Ovis aries: one gene and its partner. The protein of the gene in region 1 interacts with the protein of each later gene in a biochemical or structural test. Links are inferred from orthologs where the notes say so. Each region holds a gene or a part of one and is shown on either strand. Other genes may lie near its edges.

Region 1 (10,151 bases):
ATAAAACATACATGCAATGGGTGCTCAACAGGCCTTTGCATGTATGAATGAAAAACGCTTTTTAAATTAAAAAAAAAAAATTTTTTTGACCATGCCCTGAAGCTTGTGGGATCCTAGTTCCCCAACCAGAGATTGAACCAGTGCCCTTGGCAGTGAAAGCTGGGAGTCCCAGTCATTGGACTGCCAGGGAATTCCCTAATTTTTTTTTAATTGGTTGAATTTGTTGCTTAAAAATGTATGATAGTGGATACCCTTGGGGGGGTTTATTACTGAAAGGGGGCCTGTGCAGGAAAGAGTGAACACTGCTGGCCTGTGATGATAACCCTGTACATGCTGAATTTACTACTAGGGGTTTGAGTACATCTGCAATGAGAAAAAAAGGGAAGTTTTTTAAAAATGGCTTTGTATTTTGTGGCCGTTGTATCTGGAGATATGATAAAATTGATTTATGATGTTACATGCTTGTAATTTCATAAATGCTAGTGGAGCCATCTCAAACATGCAAATTTTAAATTAAGAAGGTATTGGTGGGGTATAGCTTCCTTGCTTTTCCTATCCATAGGTAGGTTGGAATTTAAATTCTTTGGATTTTAGAACCAGAACAAGTCTCCATACCTGATGATTTTTGCTATGATTTGTGTCTGTTGGAACCTCTGGAAAGAGGGTGACAACATAAGAAGAGAAGCACTCTCTGAATAGAAATACACATTTGGATTTTGAAAAAGCAATTAGTTAAGTTTCTAATTGGCCCTTGTTGAAATCAGATGTCTGACCCTTAGAGGTTGATGATTGTCCAGTCTGATATGCATGTTTTTGAGTGGGTCAGTTTGGACTCTGAGACTGACAAAAGGGGTACCATGCTGTCTGGCACTGCAGCACGCCTTTGCCTCTGCTGAAGAAAAGTACCCAGCTTGATTGGAATCCCCAGTTCACTGACCCTCGTTGCCTGGACCTCACTCTAAGCTGAACCCTAACACTGGCTGTCAGTACACTCTTTCAGCTTCCCAAGGAGCAGTGCTGAACTGAAAGCAGACCCAGGCTCCATGGGCAGAGTTCAGTCAGACTCTGGGACCACTGGAGATTTAGGGCCCCTCTCTGGAGCTCTAAATGGTGACAGCATACATCGTGGATGCTGGCTGTACCAACTGGGTCACATACAAATGCCCACAGGAAAGAGTCATTCTTTGACGGGACCATCTAAAATCAAGCTGCTAATCAGCTCTTTTATGTCTGATGCAGAGGCTGATTGTATCCTGACTTGTGATCCCTGCCCAAACCTGCAAGTCGGAGGAGGGCACATCACAGAGACTCTGACCGCCGGCCACCTCCTGCTTCTGACATATCAGATTCTGGGCCTTCCCTGAGGGTGGCTCGATGCTTTTGATTTGTGTGCTCAGCCTCCTGGGTGAGCCGTAACTTTACTACCACGGGTTGATAGGCTTACTCCGCCTCCTCACTTTGCCCTCTGTACACACACCTTGTAAGTCAGAGTGACTACTCTGGTGTAGCTGTCTCTGGAAAAGGACTGATCTTTTCTAGGCTGTCTCTGGGGAAAAGGGGTGGAAGGTTATATGCTGCTAAGTCACTTCAGTCGTGTCCGACTCTGTGACTCCATGGATGGCAGCCCACCAGGCTCCCCCGTCCCTGGGATTCTCCAGGAAGGTTATATAAACCCACTGTAAAAATTTTTACATTCAGGACTTCATCCTCTGTTAGTGTGCTAGGACTGCAATAACAAAATAGCACAGACTGGATGGCTTAAAAAAATAGAAATGTATTTGCTCACAGTCCTAGAGGCTAGAAGTCCAAGAGCAAGCAGTTGGCACGTTTCTCCTAAGGCCTGTCTCCTAGGCCTGCACCTGGCAGCCTTCTCACTGTATCTTCACATGGTTGCCCCTCTGTCTGAATGTCTGTGTCTTAATCTCTTCTTATAAGAACACCAGTCATATTGGATGGGCCCACCCATTTTACTTTAATCACCTCTTTGAAGGCCATATCTCCAAATACAGTCACCTTCTGTACTGGATGTTAGGACTTCAGCATATAATTTGGGGAGAACACAGTTCAGCCCATAACATATCCTGATCAATTCCTGAATATTTTTCCAGTTAAATTATATTAAAATATTTATCTGCAAAATTATTCCCATGTCTCTTGCACACAGCCCTTCTGGATGAAAGGCCTGGATGAGAATAAAAGATTATTGAAAAAATGTCAGGTTAGTATTGCTGATCAAAAGCCTGGCACCCAGGGAGCTTTGGGGGCGGGGAGAGCATTTATGATCTTCATTTCTCAGAAATATTCTGGAAACTTTCCCCTTTTCCTGAAGGAAAGCTCCCAGTGCCGTCAGCTGGAAGATTGACCCTCAGCTGGCATCTGGGTTCTTGAATTTCAGGAGAGTTCTCACCATTCCCTAAATGACAGGAGTTGCTTACTGAATTTAAACTGTGTAAACTGTGGTTTATGCTGCATGCCTGCTTTCCTTCCAGGAGTGTAGAATTTTGGTGTGTTACAGGCAGAGGGTGCCTGTGTGACCAAACCCCAGAAAAGCCCTGGGCTGGAGTCTCTGATGAGCTTCTCTGGTAGATAACATTTCACACGTGTTGTCACACTCATTGCTGGAGGAGTTGTGTCCTGTGTGACTGACTCCACTGGGAGAAGACTCTGGGAAGCTTGTGCCTGGTTTCCTCTGGATTTTGCTCTATGCACCTTTCCCTTGGCTGATTTTGCTTCATAACCTTTCACTGTAATAAATCCTAGTCATCTGTGAGTAGAACTATATGCTGAGTCCTGTAGGGGGATGGTCTTGGGCCCCCCCCCCCCCGCCCCAGGGCACAAGGAGGACTTACGGGGTGGTTGGTCGTGTACTCTTTCTCAGTCTGGGTGCTGCTTACATGAGGTGTACTCATTTTGTGAAAATTCACTGAGCTGTCCAATTAACAGATGTATACTTTTTCGGTACATAGATTCAACTTTATAAAAAGATAAAACAATATTGTACACCACAGGGATTAAAAAATAATAATTTTTAAAAACAACTCCCTTTTATTTATAAAGCATTTTAGTCACTCCTTTTTGCCAAGCATTGTGCTGAGAGCTTGGGACATGGGGTAGGAAAGATGTCTTCATTGCCTCTGAGTTTATTGGGAGTTATGTAAAGAGATAACTGATATGACTTTTGCTGACTCCTAGCAAAGACATCATAGGATGCTGGGCTTACAACTTGAGTGATTCTCAGGGTTGCCACTTAAGTATCTATGGAAGCCAGACAGGCAAAGGGGCAAAGGAGGGTTATCAGGGAACTCTGACAAACTGGGAAGGTATGTTAAGTAAGCATAGAGTTGCAACAGCTAATAGTTTTTTCAAAGTTGCATTTTTATGTGAGCTGTCTTGATTTTTCACTCCTGTATATGAATCCAAATTTTAAAAAGTGAAAGACCAAACAAAACACCTCTGCAGCCAAATTTGACCTTGGCTTACCAGTTTGCCAGGCATTCTGCCAACCTGTCATCTTTCCCTCTTACAAAACACTTGAGGGTCCACTATTTTAGGCACTGGGAAATAGAGCAGTGAGCCAGCCAGACAATTTTCTTGCAGAATGACCCTGGCGGGGGTGGTGGGGTTCTGGTACTGTACTTCTCAAACTTCAATATGTGTGGGAATCACTGGGTAGATTCTGAATTGGGGGGGTCTGCGTTGAGGCCTGAAGCTTTGGCTTTCTAACAAGCTCCCAGGTGTTGGTGATGTTGGTGGCCCCTGCTGTTATTTGAAGAAGAGTAGGGGGTTTGTCTGGAAGATGCGTTTGCCTGGCAAGCATTCTCTTTAGACTTCGATTTTAGTTTATGGGGTGATTTGGAAGAGAGCTGGTGACTTCCGGGGCGGATGTTAGGGCTCCCCCATGCTGTCTCTCATTCTAGGTCTCTATTCTCAGAGTTTATAATCTAGAAGGCGAGGTGGGGATGGAGGAAGGTGCTGGGAAAAGCTTCCTGGAGGAGGTCCTCGCGGACTGCAGGAGCTTCCCCTGCCGTCGAGAAAGGAGAAACCCTGAACGCACCCTCTTCTGGGGCGGGGTCTCAGCAGCCCCACACCAGCTTTGGTTTCCCAGGCATCCCACGTGTCTTCCGTCCGCCATCCCTGCCAATCAAGCTCCTCCCAGGGCCTGGGTGAGAGTTTAAAGGCGGCTGCAGTGCCGAGCGCTCCCAGAGTGCCGCGCGGCGGGCGGGTTTGGATTTTAAATCCCCGCGGCCAATCAGTAGCGCGTAGGCTCTTGTAACGTTCCCGGCGCCGCGTTTGAATTCGAGGAGAGGCAGAGCCGTGCCAAGCCTCTGCCTAGACCCTGCTAGGTCCGCTGAGCAACTCCGGGAACATGAGTGCGGCGGCAACTGCAGGGAAGCTGGGGCGGGCACCAGCCGACCCAGGGAAAGCGCCCGGAGTTGCAGCTCCCGGGGCTCCGACGGCCGCCCCGCCGGCGAAAGAGATTCCGGAGGTCCTAGTGGACCCTCGCAGCCGGCGGCGCTATCTACGGGGTCGCTTTTTGGGGAAGGGTGGCTTTGCCAAGTGCTTTGAGATCTCGGATGCGGACACTAAGGAGGTGTTCGCGGGCAAGATCGTGCCTAAGTCGCTGTTGCTCAAACCGCACCAAAAGGAGAAGATGTCCATGGAGATATCCATTCACCGCAGCCTCGCTCACCAGCACGTCGTAGGCTTCCACGGCTTTTTCGAAGACAACGACTTCGTGTTCGTGGTGTTGGAGCTCTGCCGCCGGAGGGTGAGTGTCGCTGCTGGGGAACTGGAACTGCCCTGGCGTCAGGGGTTGGGGCACTGGGAACCGGAGCTGCTGGGGAAGGGGCGCCCCGGGGCTCAGAGCTGCTAGGGAAGAGGTGCTGGGAACCTGGAACTGGAAATGGAGAAAGTCTTGGGGAGAGGGAAGGTTCTCGGCACTTGGGGCCTCTAGGGAAGGCGGCTTCTGAACGCTAGGAGTTGGGCGGATTGGGGGAGGTGCGGGAGAACCTTGCTTATGGACGCCAGGGCTTTGGAGTTGCTAGGTAAGGGATATTGCGGACCCTCACTTTCCCGAGTAGGGTTGGGTCAGGCAGAGGGTAGTTGGAGCCAGACTTCGGAGCTTCCGGGGGAGGGGAGGGGCAGGAAAGGGACCTGTTGCTGCCAAGAGTTCCGGGACCGGGATACTGGGGTCTCTGAGCTTCCGGAGGGGTCTGAGAGAGGGGTCCCAGGTAAGGGTTTTGGGAGGGAGCCAGTGGGAGAGGGTTGCTATGAACTGTTGCGGCCTGGTTTTGGGGGGGGGGGGAGTCTGGATCGCAGTTGTCCTGAAGAAATGGTTAGTAGCGTCCTGGCTGCCTTTACCTAATGACACTCCCTCCCTGCCTTGGGTCTGAGCACCGGCTCCCATTTCTCCTTCCCTCCTGCTCCCAGTCTCTCCTGGAGCTGCACAAGCGGAGGAAAGCTCTCACGGAGCCCGAGGCCCGCTACTACCTGCGGCAGATCGTCCTGGGCTGCCAGTACCTGCACGGAAACCGCGTTATTCACAGAGACCTCAAGCTGGGCAATCTCTTCCTGAACGAGGATCTGGAGGTGAAAATAGGTAAGGAGCTGGGACTGCAAGGGCATTTGACATGCAGTGGGAATGAGGAGGAGCTGGGAGGGAGGGTGAGGGAGAGGAAATTTGGAAAGAGACAAGGGAGAGAGGAAGAGGATGGTAGGAAGTCTGGGCTGTTGATTGGCTGTAGAATCCTCTCTTAGGACAGGAACTTAAAGAGCTACAAACCAGTGTCTTGTCTGCAGATGTGCTTTGAGGGGGGCAGTGTGTTCTATACAGTTTGTTTTTTTTTTTTAAGAATTTGGATTTGTTTTCACTTTTTAAAAATATTTTTTCAATTTACTTATTTCGGCTGCACTGGGTCTCCGCTGCTGCATGCCTTTCTCTGGTGCGGTGAGTGGGGGCTACTCTGCGTCGCATGTGCGGATTTCTCATTGCAGTGGCTTCTCCTTGTGGAGCGCAGGCTTCAGCAGTTGTGGCTCCAGCGCTCTAGAGCACAGGTTCAGTAGTTGTGGCACATGGGCTTAGGTGCTCTGTGGCACATGGGATCCTCACCGACCAGGAATGGAACCTGTTTCTCCAGCATTGGCAGGTGAATTCTTTACCACTGAGCCATCACGGAAGCCGCTCCTCATTTTCACTTTTTTAAACTGAGAGCCTTGATGTAAAACTTTGAATTTGGAGCTCCTTTTAAACACTCGAGAGCTCCAGCAGTACAGGGGTAGCGTTCCCTCAAGACAGCTCTTTGCTGTACTGAACAGCAGCTGTTCCCTTTAGATGCCCTATGGTTTGCCACATTCCCCACCCCTCCGTATCACTTCCTCACAAACTTGCCAAGTAGCCATCTTGACATTTACTTGCTTAATCCCTGAAGGTGTTTGAGTTTTGCTATCCCTGTCAGTCGGAGAAGGCAATGGCACCCCACTCCAGTACTCTTGCCTGGAAAATCCCGTGGATGGAGGAGCCTGGTAGGCTGCAGTCCATGGATCACGAAGAGTCGGACACGACTGAGCGACTTCACTTTCACTTTCATGTGTTGGAGAAGGAAATGGCAACCCACTGCAGTATTCTTGCCTGGAGAATCCCAGGGACGGAGGAGCCTAGTGGGCTGCTGTCTGTGGGGTCACATGGAGTCAGACATGACTGAAGCGACTTAGCAGATCCCTGTCAGTTCCCTTTTAGAAGTAAACCCCTCCTTTCTAAGGGGAGGGGTGATGAGAGTCTTTGGGAGGCCCTTCCCTAGGGCCAGCATGGTGGGAGGATTCCTGGGTAACAGGAATCTAGTCCTTGCTGTACACAAGGACTAGAGGCTTTGAGAGATCACTTGACCCTGGTTCTTGATGGTTACCAGCTGAACCAGCTGTCTGCATTGACAGACGACAGAAGCTGGCATCTGAGCCTCCCTCTTCCTCCCTCTGTCCCAGGGGATTTTGGACTGGCAACCAAAGTGGAGTATGACGGGGAACGGAAGAAGACCCTGTGCGGGACTCCTAATTACATAGCTCCTGAGGTGCTGAGCAAGAAAGGGCACAGTTTCGAGGTGGACGTATGGTCCATTGGGTGCATCATGTAAGTTGGGAGTTGTCTCAGGACCCACCAGTCTCAGCAAGGGGCTTTCTGGACATCTCACTTGGCAGGCTTTATCCTGCAGACCTTTCCGCCTTTGGAAAGACTGTTCCAGAGGACAGATGGTCTCTGAAGGAACCCTCATTGCTGAATTGGTATATCCTGTAGGATTCCTGCAGCCTGGGCTGTGGGTTCAGGGAATGAGGGAGGGAATGTCTCCACAAACTTGCTCTAATCCCTTGCTATTCAAAGTACGGCAGACCAGCTGCAGCATCACGTAGGAACTTGTTACGCAGAATCTCAAGACCCAGACTAACTGGATCACAATCTGTATTAAGACCCTTGAGTGATTTCTATGCACAATAAAGTATTAGAACCACTGATCTAAAAAGCAGCATTGGGTGGGAAGAATTAGGCCAGGAGTGGTGCTGGCAGGAGGAGGTCCTGTGGTCTGTCTGGGTCAAGGCCATCAGAGGTGGGTGGTGGGCAGAGAGTTGGGCCTGTTCAGGTGTTACCCCTTTTGTTGTTTCCCTGGATACTGGAGAGTTAGAAATGGCTTTCCTACTTCTTTGCCTTGGAATTTCCCACATGAAAACTTGCAGCCTAAAGTACAGAACTATTAACTGTGGGGCTGCCTCAAGGAAAGTGACCCCTGCTTGGACCTGTTCCATGTTAGCTGGCAGCCTCTGGCCCCTAGATTACCGCAGGCTATAGCTAAAAAGTCACTGGTCCATTAGAACCCAGTTTCATCACCTGTATTCTACTGAGGGTACCTCCCTGCCAGTGTCGTGGCTCCTGGGGCTGCTTAGTGAACTTGTGAATTGTCCTCTGGGGCCCCAGAGTCACAGTGAATGCCCAAAAGATGTCTGACTTCCTTTCTGGCCCTGAGAGGATTCCTCCCTGCATCTGGGTTTTGGTTGGGAGCCTTGAGCCAAATCCCTCCTTGTGCTTACAGGTATACCTTGTTAGTGGGCAAGCCACCTTTTGAGACCTCTTGCCTAAAAGAGACCTACCTCCGGATCAAGAACAATGAATACAGTATTCCCAAGGTGACTAAAACCACTTTAAGTTTACATTTGTTTTATTTAATTCCCTCCCCCACCAAGTGATTTACAGAGCCCAGCCATTTCCGGGGGAAAGAGATGGGTCAGTGCCACCCCATGGGTAAGTGTAACAGCTTTAGAGGGTCCTGTCTGAAATTGCATACAGAGGCTGATGTATGTGTACAGAAACAGTTTTTCTTGGGATGAGAGTTTGCAGGCTTTCATCCGTTGGGGAGATAACCCAAAAGACGTGAAAAACAGAGAGAAAGAGCCAGAGTAGGGGCAGACGGAGAAGTGCTGCTTAGCCTGGCTGTGGACTGTCTTGGTTCAGATGGGCTCTGCCACTTTTTAGCCAGATCACAATGGACAAATGGCCTGAGTCTTCTGAGCTGCAGTTTCCCATCTGTAAAGTGGAGTCCCTGCCCCAGAGCATCTTGCACACAGCGAGCGCTCACAGAATCTCGAACCACCGTGAAGGCGAAGTGGCGTGCTTTTGCAGCCCCCAGCAAGAGTGCATTGAGAGGGATAGTTGGCAGCAGTCTGGCACACAGCTGCTTCCACAGTTTGGCATCTTTGTCTTATGTGAAGCCAAGAGCCCTGTCTCCATCAGGATGGATGGGCTGAATCCGTTACAGAGGGTCAATTATTGGGCCGAGTAGAGCGGTTCCCAGTGTGGGGGTTGCACCTGACTGCCTCGGTGTGGGTGCTGGCTCCACCACTCACTCGGGATGTATCTTAGGCACTTGACTTCTCTGTGCCTATTTCCTCATCTGCTAAAGAGGGATGGTACTAGAGAGCTTCAGTCCTTGGGTGTTTCTCTGAGGGTTAAGTGAGTTCATCTACACGAAGTGCTTACAATATTTTGCTGGTAGATAGTAAGTACAAAGTTGATGCTAGGCTTTACTGTGCATTTGACCTACCCTGGGTTGGGTCTCCTTGCCAGGGCTCCAAGCTTGGTGCTGTGTCCCCACTTTATAGATGAAGATACAAAGGCCCAGAAAGTTGGGTTGGTTGGCACAGCTGGTGCTGAGGGACAGAACTGGGACTTACACCAGGCCTTTATGACTTCCAAGCCTTTGTTTTCAAGTGCTGTTCTAGTGGTGAGCAACTTGTCAACTTAGTAAAGCTGCCAGTGGAAACTTGGGACGTTTATAGCCACTGAACATGGTGTATTTGGGGCCGGGTAGTGGGTGGTGGTGCAGCAGCTGGGTTGGTCCTGTGTCATATCCTGCTTATGACTCCCCACCTTCCCTCCAGCACATCAACCCCGTGGCCTCCTCTCTCATCAAGAAGATGCTTCAGCCAGATCCCAGTGCCCGTCCAACCATTCACGAGCTGCTCAATGACGAGTTTTTCACTTCCGGCTATATCCCTGCCCGCCTCCCCATCACCTGCCTCACCATTCCACCGAGGTTTTCAATTGCTCCCAGTAGCCTGGACCCCAGCAACCGGAAGCCTCTCACCATCCTCAATAAAGGTAAACCAGAGTGTGGGTAGACAAACAGCCTTGCCTGCCTCTGTGTGTGAATGGATGGTCCCCAAAGCTCAGGTGTGCAGTAGGATGGGCCCCAGTCTTTGAATCCATGGTCCCCATCCTTATGTGGCAAATGCCTTTCCCCATAGCCCTGTCAGGGAAGACAGACCTTACTGTGACTGAGTCAGACCTGTCATGTCCGGAGAGAAGAGAGTGGCTAAATGCCATGCCTGAATAATTCTTAATATATATTTTTTAAATCGTTGATATTGCCCTGCATGGTTCATTGGAAAAAATGTTGAGAAGCTTCAGATACACACATGGAGCACAATGTGCGTGGGACCCACATCACCGCCAGAGTCAACACTTGCTAAGATTTGTAGTGTTTGCTTCATAGCTCCTTGTTTGTTCCTTTGAAGTATTTTTGAAGTTAATTCCAGACATCTTGCCATTTTACCCCCAAGAACTTCCGTACGCATCTCTCTAAAAGGATAGACATTTTCTTACAAAACCA
Region 2 (10,344 bases), on another chromosome or scaffold:
TATCAGGTCAAAACTTCTTATACATTCAGAGGGCTCCAAACAGCTTGATTCCAAAAGCCCATGGAGGTTTTCTCCTGTTGGAGCCTCTGGTTCCTCTAGTTTTGTTTTTTTGTTTGTTTGTTTAAAAAAAGACTAATATCCAGCTCCAACTGAGAGCCTTCTCTGTACTTTGTAAAATGCCTGCCTTCTGCCTGTGTCGCTTCTTTCATGATCAAGAGGGAAGAGAGAGAAACAAGGAAGCAGTACTTAGCTGTAGGGCTTTGGAAAAGACCATTATTTTCTTCAATTCTCCTAACAAAAGGGTATAGTTTTCTGTTCTCTTTAGGTCAATAACTTGCTCCTAACTCCACTCCATCCCTTTCAAACTTGCCTAGTCTCTCAGATCATCTGTGCATTGGGCCCTACAGACCTAACCCTGTGGAGGACTCAGAAGGGGTAGTCAGGTTAAAGTCAGATAGATTAATGTCAGAAGACACTTCAGAGGGACTTCCCTAGTGGGACTTATATTCTCACACAAACATGCAGAGTCAGGTATGCCTCACCTTCAGTGAAGTGGAGAAAAGGGATGAGAGTAAGAAGGGTGTAGAACATGGATGAAAACACTTGGAAAATCACATAGCAAAAAGTAATGAAACAGAGAATTGCCCAGACCTACAATTATTGAGGGAAATCTTTTAAATTCTCCTAATTTAAGCTAACTTTCCACATTAAAAAATAATAGGTTCATAACTTCAAATTTTTCAAATAGGATAGAAGGGAAAATATGAAAAGTTTTCTCTGCCTCCATATATTTATAATTCCTTTAGCTGTTTTCAAAGCATGAACATTTACCCACATGGGATTATGCCCTACATACTATTCTTCACCTCACTTTTAAAAATTTAACAATATATCTTCATGATATTTCTATGTCAGTACACCTAGATCAACTTCACTCTATATGAAAGAAATACTGCCCTTTCAAGGGGGGTGTCCAGCTGGAGGGTGGAGCCCCTCCTCCTGCTTCTGAGCAGAGAGACAGAAAGTGGACATCTAGCAGAAATGCTTATGAAAGGATCTCATCCATATATGAAAATATAATCCAAAGGTCTTGAAAGAGCCTCAGTTTTATAAGTTGGCCTGAGAAGAGTCCCTGGAGACTCCCTGGAAAAGGGAAATTTTGAATTGGTTTTGCAAGCATTAACTACAAATTGGCACTTGCCATGGGTGCTTGCCATCTACCTCTACAGGATTAAATCAAGTGCTGCTGCAACTGCTGACCTTCGACACTCCCTGAAAGGAATCCAGGGTGGACAGCAGAAATTAGACACTCTGTACTGGGGGGTGGGGAGTTGGGGGGAAGCTTGCAGAACAGGTCTTCAGACAGTTTCAGGAGTGAATCTATGAGCCCAATTCTTGTATCCCTTCATACTTAGAAAAGCACTAAAATCCTTCATGGTGATGTCTGTTCCTCGTGACTAGCAGAAAGCTTCATGAGACTAGCAGAAAACTTTCGGTAAAATTTGTGGTTGACTGCATTTATTTCTCCTTCACCAAAATCACATATTTAACTATCCCTCCCCGTCTGCCTCTTTGGAGCAGTTTCTCAGAGTTATCTGAGGTGTTGTCTCCCAGGCTGCAGTCCTCATTTTGCCCCAAATAAAACTTAACTCGCAACTCTCATGTTGTGCATTTTTTTTAAGTCAACGGAAGAGTGGACTTGGGAAAACTGGCCAGGACAAGGGAGGAAGATCTTGACAAGGAGTAGAGGTAGTATCTGCTAATGTGTTTTGAGCACTTACTATTTGCCAAGGATCGCACTAAGTGCTTTGCATGTATTATCTCACCCTCTGTGAAGGTACTCTCATTATCCTTATTATTATTTTTTGTGTGTGTGTGTGTGGACCATTCTTTTAAAGTTCACATAAAATTTTGTTACAATACTGCTTCTGTTTTATGTTTTGGTTTTTTTGGCTGCGAGGCATGTGAGATCTTACCTTCCTGAACAGGGATCGAACCCACATCCGCTGCATTGGAAGACGAAGTCTTAACCACTGGACCACCAGGGACATCCCACATCATCTCCATTTTAGATGAAGAAACGGAAGTACAGTGAGCCTGAGTGACTCGCCCAAGGTCATACATCCAACAAATCAGCAGTCTGACTCAGGTACTCAACTTCACCCCTGTAGGTCAGAGTAGAGATGGGAATAAGGTCAGAGTATGTAGTAGTTTGGGCCCCTGCAGAGTTGGGGGAAGGTGGAAGTTGGGGAGGATCATGAGAATGATAGCAGCCCCCTCTCTCCTTGGAACTGACTCCCAATCCCTTCCTGCCTCCCACGACTATAGGCTGTCAGGCCCCCAGAACTCCCTGTTTGTGGACAATGCCTGCCAGGACACTCATCCAGACTTCCTTCCTCCCCTTCTCCCCACTCAAGTCCTGCAGGATCCTCTGTGATAGTCTCTGGAAAGGAGGAGGGGCTAAAAGAGAAACAACTTTTGTCCAGAAGAGAAACCCACCCCCTACCACCCCACCCCCACCCCCTGTACTAGAGGACTGGAAGGCTGTCTTAGGTGCTTCCATATCTCATTTAGCCCTGTGTACCTTAGATAAAGGGCTTTCCAGGTGACACTAATGGTAAAGAACCCTGCTGCCAATGCAGGAGACATAAGAGATGTGGGTTTGATCCCTGGGTCAGGAAGATCCCCTGGAGGAAGGCATGGCAACTCACTCCAATATTCTTGCCTGGAGAATCCCATGGACAGAGGAGCCTGGTGGGCTACAGTCCATAGGGTCACAAAGAGTTGCACACAACTTAGCAACTGAAGCAACTTAGCACACACACACACCTTTGATAATAGATACTGGCATGGGAAACTGAGACTCAGGGAGATATCTGATTCAGGCATGTGTGACTGCACAGTCCTTTTGACTCCCCAGCTATGCTTCAGGGCCATTGGAACAAAGACCCACACAATCAGGATCAGGCTAAAATGCATGGGGGATTTAAAACTGGATACCAGAAAACAGAACTGGAGCAGCTTATTAAATTCCTATTGCCTCATCCTCAGATGGGTCTTGCAGGGAACTGCAGACTGGGCAAGGTAGAGGCCATGAAGCAGAGGCTGCATTGCCATTTTAAGGAAGGATGCCCACCCACCCTTAATACATGGGGCCTTTGTGTTCCAAGAGATAGAAGGCAGCATGGCTGGTGTCTGACTTTCAAGGTAATCCTCTGTCTTGGGGAAGCTATAGGGAATGACAGGCTTGCCCTGGACCCCAAGCCCATCAGCCTTCTAGATGGACAGAAGCTACTGAATGGGCTTCCCTACAACTGCTCTGAGACCCTGGTGGTCTGGTGCATTAAGGTTGCCTTTCTGTATCAATGCACATGGTTGAGCAGAGTGGAGCTGTAAACAATGGAGACCAGGAAACCAAGAGGATAGGGACCAGAGCAATGCCAAAACCCTATTCCTTTGGCTTTTCCAATTATCCTAGCCTGGCAGGCTACAGTCGATAGGGTTACAAAGAGTCAGACACTACTGAAGTGACTTGGCACATAGCACATGGGCCACTTCCATCCTTGACATCCGGTCACAACATACTCTCTCCTCACTGGCCTCACTGGCCTTCCCAGAGGCTTTGCCGGCAGAGTGGGCGTTGGATACCCTGCGGAGGTTGACTTGGTTTTAGAAGGAAAAAAAGGATTAAGCCCACAAATTTATGCTAGTGTAAAGAAAACCCCTGCTTTCTGATTCTGAAACTGTTGGTCTACTGTTCTAAACACCTTATCTTCCTGTAATCCTCACACTACCCTGAGGTAATGCTGTTATTTTTATTCCCTTTTTTGAGCAGAGGAAAAGAAAGCAACTGAGAAGCTGCCTTCATCAAGATCACACAACTGGCAAAATGCCTAGTCAGGGTTGAAACTCAGGGAATAATGATTGGAAGGAGGTATTAATATTTCTGATGGAATTCACAGTCATTCAAATTGTGCAGTTATTTTTTTCTAGCATCTTGTGAGGCCAATGACTTTTCTTTTTTGTCATTTTAACATTATCGATTGAGGACAGGAAGAAAAAACACACATTTGAACATTTAAACGTCAGAGTAGTAAACATTTCGGTCTTTGGCATTTCCTAGTCAAATATGGCGGAGAAAGCAATGGCACCCCACTCCAGTACTCTTGCCTGGAAAATCCCATGGACAGAGGAGCCTGGTAGGCTGCACTCCATGGGGTCGCTAAGAGTCGGACACGGCTGAGCGACTTCACTTTCACTTTCATGCATTGGAGAAGGAAATGGCAACCCACTCCAGTGTTCTTGCCTAGAGAATCCCAGGGACGGGGGAGCCTGGTAGGCTGCCATCTATGGGGTCGCACAGAGTCGGACACGACTGAAGCGACCTAGCAGCAGCAGCAGTCAAATATGGACTCCAGGGTTCAGGGAACAACACAGAGAAGAATAAAAGTAACAACTACGAGGACATTCTGCTGGTCGTCTGAGGAAAAAGTTACTGCCTTAGAATGGCACCTAAACCATCCTCAACTCCTGAGGCGGTGACTATAAATTACCCCCTCTAACTGACAAGTCGCTGCCTCAAGCCGCTCTTTCGGGGGTTTTGAACGCTGGTCTCTCTCTTTTATGTGGCCTCTCTATGCCCTGCCGTTATACGAAAACCCCAGCTACGTTCACGTACGGCCAAGCATGGCTTTTGTTTCTTCAAAGATAAACTCTAGGGGTGGAGGGGCGGGCTTTGAGGCAGACGCCCGGTTTGCTGAACTGAACCGAATGCCCCGGCTGCTTGTCCAGAAAGCTGGCGCTCAGTTTTCCCAGGAAACGGAGCTAGGACTCCCGTTCCTTTAAAAAAAGAAAAAAGAAAAAATCAGGATGGAGGACAGTCTTCAGATTTTAGGGACCTGAAAGAAGATACCAGCTTCGGGGTATACATATCCTCTCCTTTTTTTCCCCCCAACCTGGATCCCACTTTCACAGCGCATTTTTCCGGAGTTACACAGAGAGAACAAACTACCCCTGCTCATTCGCTAGATTCCCTGTCCGTCCCTCAGCAACGACGCCGAGTGGTGTCTTTTAAAACCCTCTAGTCCCGCCTCCCTCCTCTAATTGGTTCATTCGAACGGGCCAGCTCAGCTGTTTATTGGTGAATATAAAAAAACAGCCTTGATTGGTTTCTCGGGACGGAACTGATGAGAGCGCGTCAACGATTGGCCTATCTGGTTTGGGCGGGCTAGAGGAAGGTTCAAACCGGAGGGGAAGCTCTCTCCTAACCGACGTGCGTCTGTGGAGAAGAGGCTTGCTCCGTGATTGTCTCGAGGGTCCCACCGGTTTAGTCACTTGCAGGGTTCTCGAGCCTCTTCACGACCGTCACCATGGAGGTGTCGCCACTACAGGTACAGCTCGCGGGAGGGGGGCGTCGCGGAGCCTCAGCGCGGCCCGGCATCTCTCCGGCTGCCGGTGAGAGAGAGGCGTCTGGGTCGTGGTCCGGCCGCCGAGGGCTGGGCGCGGGTTTTCCGCGTCTACTCGGGTCCCCTGGGCTCGGCGTGATCGCGAAGAGACTGAATGAAACCTTTTTCTGGTGCTAGTAGTGAAGTATTGTTGGCTGTACTGGCTTCTAGGGTGCGGCGTTGTGTTTCACTGTTTCTAGAGATTCATTTGGTCCCGGTGTAGGTCGATGGGATCGTGGTCCGCATGTAGCTTTACGCGGCACTGAGAGATGCTTTCCTCTCCCACCTGGGGCTGAAAATGGGATTGGATGACCCTAACTTTGGACAGTGCAGAGCAAGGAACAGGGTTCCCACTATGGAGCCGGCAGGTCCGATGCTCAAAATAAGTCCCTCCTGTGTTTAAAACGTTAACGTGTCCAAAGGATGGAATCCCTATCCTCCCAAACTGCTACTGTAGAATCTATTATGTGCCTGAGACCTGGTAGGCACTCAGTAGATATGTGTGGAGTACCTGAAAAAAGGGGATGTGTGCTGTTGATGGCATCTAACGCATGGAAGTATTTCCATGTCAGATACACAGGGCAAAATAATATGTCTGTTTAAACTGACACTTGGGGGGAACCTGCTGCAGTTAACTTATATTGCCATGTTTGTACAACACTATGTCAGCTCCACTGATAACCTACCAAAAGTCTGATTTGTTTTGGTGTGTGTAAGCAGATCACTATGATAGGTATTTTGTTTCTGGTTTCTGATAAACCTATGATTCAAAATCCCTTTTCTTCAATTTTTTAAAAAATTCCTAGCCTGTAAACGAAAATATGCAAGTCAGCAAAACAAAGAAAAATGAAGATGCTAAGAAAAGATTGTCTGTTGAAAGAATCTATCAAAAGAAAACACAACTGGAACATATCCTGCTCCGCCCAGACACCTACATTGGCTCTGTGGAATCAGTGACCCAGGTAAAATCAGGCTAATTAAATGTAGTTACTAAGTAGTTAAGATGAATACTTGTCCAGGTTAATTTTCTATATTTCATGTACTTTGTCTTCTGCAACTGGCCTAAGCTATCATCTACATTGTCATACTAACTGAGAAGACTTTACAGGAACCATGATAATAAAACGAAGTAGATATATAAAGTAACCCTGTTTCTTTGTCTTATTTCTAGCAAATGTGGGTTTACGATGAAGATACTGGCATTAACTATAGGGAAGTCACTTATGTTCCTGGTTTGTACAAAATCTTTGATGAGATTCTAGGTAAGTATATTCTTAATACAAAGATCTGCTGGTCAGATGTGAGAAGTATTATTCCTACCAAAAAACAGTTGGCAAAGGTTAGACAGTCTGCTGGAATCTAGGAAGTTGAGTTCTTAGAAACAGTCCTATGAATAAAAATTGCTAAATGAATACCTCATCAATGTTACTCCTGCACTGCCTGAGATTTTTTTTCTTTTTGTATCTTAGAGGTAAAGAGTGTTTTCTAAAATACTTTAACTTTTTACAAATGTGTTTTTTCTTTCAGTCAATGCTGCAGACAACAAACAAAGGGACCCAAAAATGTCTTGTATTAGAATCACAATTGACCCGTAAGTCTCCTGCTTAGTCTTTTGTTTTTTGTAGCACCCTGTTGCTGTTAATTGCATTTACTTGATTTATAGTAAAGTTGAGCATTTTTTTAATGGAATTTTGCAAAACTGCAGAAAGGTAGAGTGCTAAAATGAGCAATCTAGATAGCTACCATCTAGATCCAACAGTTATCAACACTTTGCCATATTGGTACCATCTATATTTTTAATCATTTCAAAATAAATTATAGACATTATAACATTTTATTTCTAAATATTTCAATAAACATCTCCAATAAGTTCTCTAAGTATTCCAGAGTCTATAGCTATAACTTTTTCTCATGATGCTGTTCAAACAGTAAGCCAGCAGATGGTGATAAAGAATAATTTGATCTAACTTTTCTGCTTATAAATGTCCTTTTGTGGGTAGTCAGGGTGTTGCTTCCCTTTGTTAGTATCCTAATCAGTTATAACATAAACTATACTTTAGATTCTTTTTGGGAAATGTGTTAATGATGTGCTTGAGTGCTCCTAAGGACTTGATACCATAGTCTTTGAAAAAATATTAAGCTAGTTTTAAGCTACGTGTAATGAGAACCATAGTGTGTGTCGTTAGAACTAAAATATAAGTCCAAATAAATTTTGAACATTATGTTGGTGAGCAGGGACGTTTACAATGGATGATGCTCTTTCATATTTGTTTTGCCAGTGTGCTTTGTCAGATGGGAAAGCTAAGGGAGCTGGGACAGTGCAGATGATCCTCTTAAAAGCGGTGTAATAATATTGTTTCCAAATTTTGTCCTTTCCATTGGGCAAAATTCATTTCCCTTTGTTTATCCTAACATTTTAAAGCTTCATATTTTTTCAGTATTATCAGTGTCTGCCCAGGTGTTGGAAAAGGATTGATTTTTTTTTTCCTCTTGGCTCCTATTTCATAATTGTTAGGAACTAAGTATGCTGAATTTCAGAAGGTATATATATAAAGAGTCATAAAGAAATTGAGATGTGTGTTTTAGAGACAATGGTATTTAACTATGAAAAGAATTAAGCACTAGCTTAACATCTGTTTTACAAAAAAAAAAATCAATCTTCTTTTCTTAGGGAAAACAATTTAATTAGTATATGGAATAATGGAAAAGGTATTCCTGTTGTCGAACACAAAGTTGAGAAGATGTATGTCCCAGCTCTCATCTTTGGACAGCTCCTAACTTCTAGCAACTATGATGATGAAGAAAAGAAAGTAACAGGTAGAGTACTGAGGAAAATAAAAAACACATTTGTTGCTGAAAAAATACATCTTTTCAAAGATTGTGGCCTAAAGGTTAAAAATATGGGAATAAATCTCCATAATTAAATAGCATTGCCAGTGATTAAGAAATAAAGCTGTAAATGCGATAAGAACAATTAAATCATATTTTACATTTATTTGCCCAGGTGGTCGAAATGGCTATGGAGCCAAACTGTGTAACATATTCAGTACCAAATTTACTGTGGAAACAGCAAGTAGAGAATACAAGAAAATGTTCAAACAGGTAAGTAAATGAGTATCTTGTGCCTTGATTATAAATTATGCTGTAGCAATTTATAGTGGCATTAAATTAAATGCCACTTAATTAACTTAATTTATAATCTATTAAATCATGGGAAAGGGAAGTCGCTCAGCCGTGTCCAACTCTTTGTGACACCACAGACTGTAGTCTACCAAGCTTCTCCGTCCATGGGATTTTCCAGGCAAGAGTACTGGAGTGGGTTGCCATATCCTTCTCGAGGGGATCTTCCCCACCCAGGGATCAAACCCCAGCCTCCTGCATTGCAGGCAGACGCTTTACCCTCTGAGCCACTAGGGAAGCTCATAGAAAGTTACTCATAAATGTATATTAGGGAAGTTGAGGGGTGGGGGTTGGTTTGGTTGGGTGTGTGTGTGTTTGTTTGTGTGTTTGTTTTAGGACTTGTAAATTTGTGTTATTTAATTCTAGTTTGTGAGATAACTTGAATTTTTTTCTCTCTATTCTTTATTTCCATAGACATGGATGGATAACATGGGGAAAGCTGGTGAGATGGAACTCAAGCCCTTTAGTGGAGAAGATTATACATGTATTACCTTCCACCCTGATTTGTCTAAGTTTAAAATGCAAAGCCTAGACAAAGATATTGTTGCACTGATGGTTAGAAGAGCATATGATATTGCTGGATCCACTAAAGATGTCAAGGTCTATCTCAATGGAAATAGGCTTCCAGTAAGTATTTTATTGGATGTAGGCAATGAGGTACTTACCTTTGTGACCATCGTCAAAAGCAAAGTTGATTTTTTTTTTCCTCCCATTTGTTTTTCTTACCACTTCTCAGATGTGTTCCTGTAAAGAAAACATAATGCCACATTTTAAAAAAATCAGTTAACTTACTTAAGTTCACTGAAGTCTTTCTCAAAGAATCTTATAAGTAAATCCTTTTGTGTCCTTTAGTGACCATCCTCTTATACATATCAGTGAACACCATTTCATAAGTTTTGAAGCATCTTTATTAAAACCTACTTTTTCATTTACTTAAAAAAAAATTAATACTATTATTTTTTAGGTGAAAGGATTCCGTAGCTATGTAGATCTGTATCTGAAGGACAAGGTAGATGAAACTGGCAATCCATTGAAAATTATCCATGAACAAGTAAACCACAGGTGGGAAGTATGTTTAACAATGAGTGAAAAAGGCTTTCAGCAAATTAGCTTTGTCAACAGCATTGCTACTTCCAAGGTAATTTTATTTTTGAATTATCAGTCATGATTTATCTTTACATATTTCATATAACTATTCTTGTTTTAAATATATAAAATGAACTTGAATATTTGGCTACCTTGACATCAGTTCAGTTCAGTCTCTCAGTCGTGTCCGACTCTTTGCGACCCTGTGGATCGCAGCACGCCAGGCCTCCCTGTTCATCACCATCTCCCGGAGTTCACTCAGACTCACGTCCATCGAGTCCGTGATACCACCCAGCCATCTCATCCTCTGTCATCCCCTTCTCCTCCTGCCCCCAATCCCTCCCAGAGAACTAAATTAGCTTTTTTTAAATGTTTGATTATGATTACAATTTTGAGGGTAATGCATTTACAGTTTGGTATTTTTCCTCATTAGGGTGGCAGACATGTTGATTATGTAGCTGATCAGATTGTGACTAAACTTGTTGATGTTGTGAAGAAAAAGAACAAGGGTGGTGTTGCAGTAAAAGCACATCAGGTACGATCCTTTAACACTGTTCTTTGGAGAAAGTCAAGGAAGAAGCGAAAGTCTATAAATAAAACATGAGTAAATGTTTAGTAATTTACTGTCAATTTT

What was found. The genes of interacting proteins can lie anywhere in the genome.
Region 2: of the proteins of PLK1 (region 1) and TOP2A, one has a biochemical effect on the other in vitro, tested with the Homo sapiens proteins (2 studies listed by BioGRID). The link is inferred for Ovis aries from reciprocal best matches to the Homo sapiens genes PLK1 and TOP2A.

Annotation. Positions count from the first base shown.
Region 1 is NC_056077.1:21,877,637-21,887,787, forward strand, and holds the start of PLK1 (serine/threonine-protein kinase PLK1), read left to right. Parts: upstream 1-4,259; 5' UTR 4,260-4,366; coding exon 4,367-4,768; intron 4,769-5,430; coding exon 5,431-5,599; intron 5,600-6,978; coding exon 6,979-7,123; intron 7,124-8,075; coding exon 8,076-8,169; intron 8,170-9,420; coding exon 9,421-9,640; intron 9,641-10,151. UniProt on the Homo sapiens protein: Serine/threonine-protein kinase that performs several important functions throughout M phase of the cell cycle, including the regulation of centrosome maturation and spindle assembly, the removal of cohesins from chromosome arms, the inactivation of anaphase-promoting complex/cyclosome (APC/C) inhibitors, and the regulation of mitotic exit and cytokinesis.
Region 2 is NC_056064.1:40,396,861-40,407,204, reverse strand, and holds the start of TOP2A (DNA topoisomerase 2-alpha), read left to right. Parts: upstream 1-5,260; 5' UTR 5,261-5,369; coding exon 5,370-5,390; intron 5,391-6,250; coding exon 6,251-6,406; intron 6,407-6,615; coding exon 6,616-6,706; intron 6,707-6,971; coding exon 6,972-7,035; intron 7,036-8,115; coding exon 8,116-8,261; intron 8,262-8,448; coding exon 8,449-8,546; intron 8,547-9,038; coding exon 9,039-9,251; intron 9,252-9,588; coding exon 9,589-9,762; intron 9,763-10,143; coding exon 10,144-10,245; intron 10,246-10,344. UniProt on the Homo sapiens protein: Key decatenating enzyme that alters DNA topology by binding to two double-stranded DNA molecules, generating a double-stranded break in one of the strands, passing the intact strand through the broken strand, and religating the broken strand.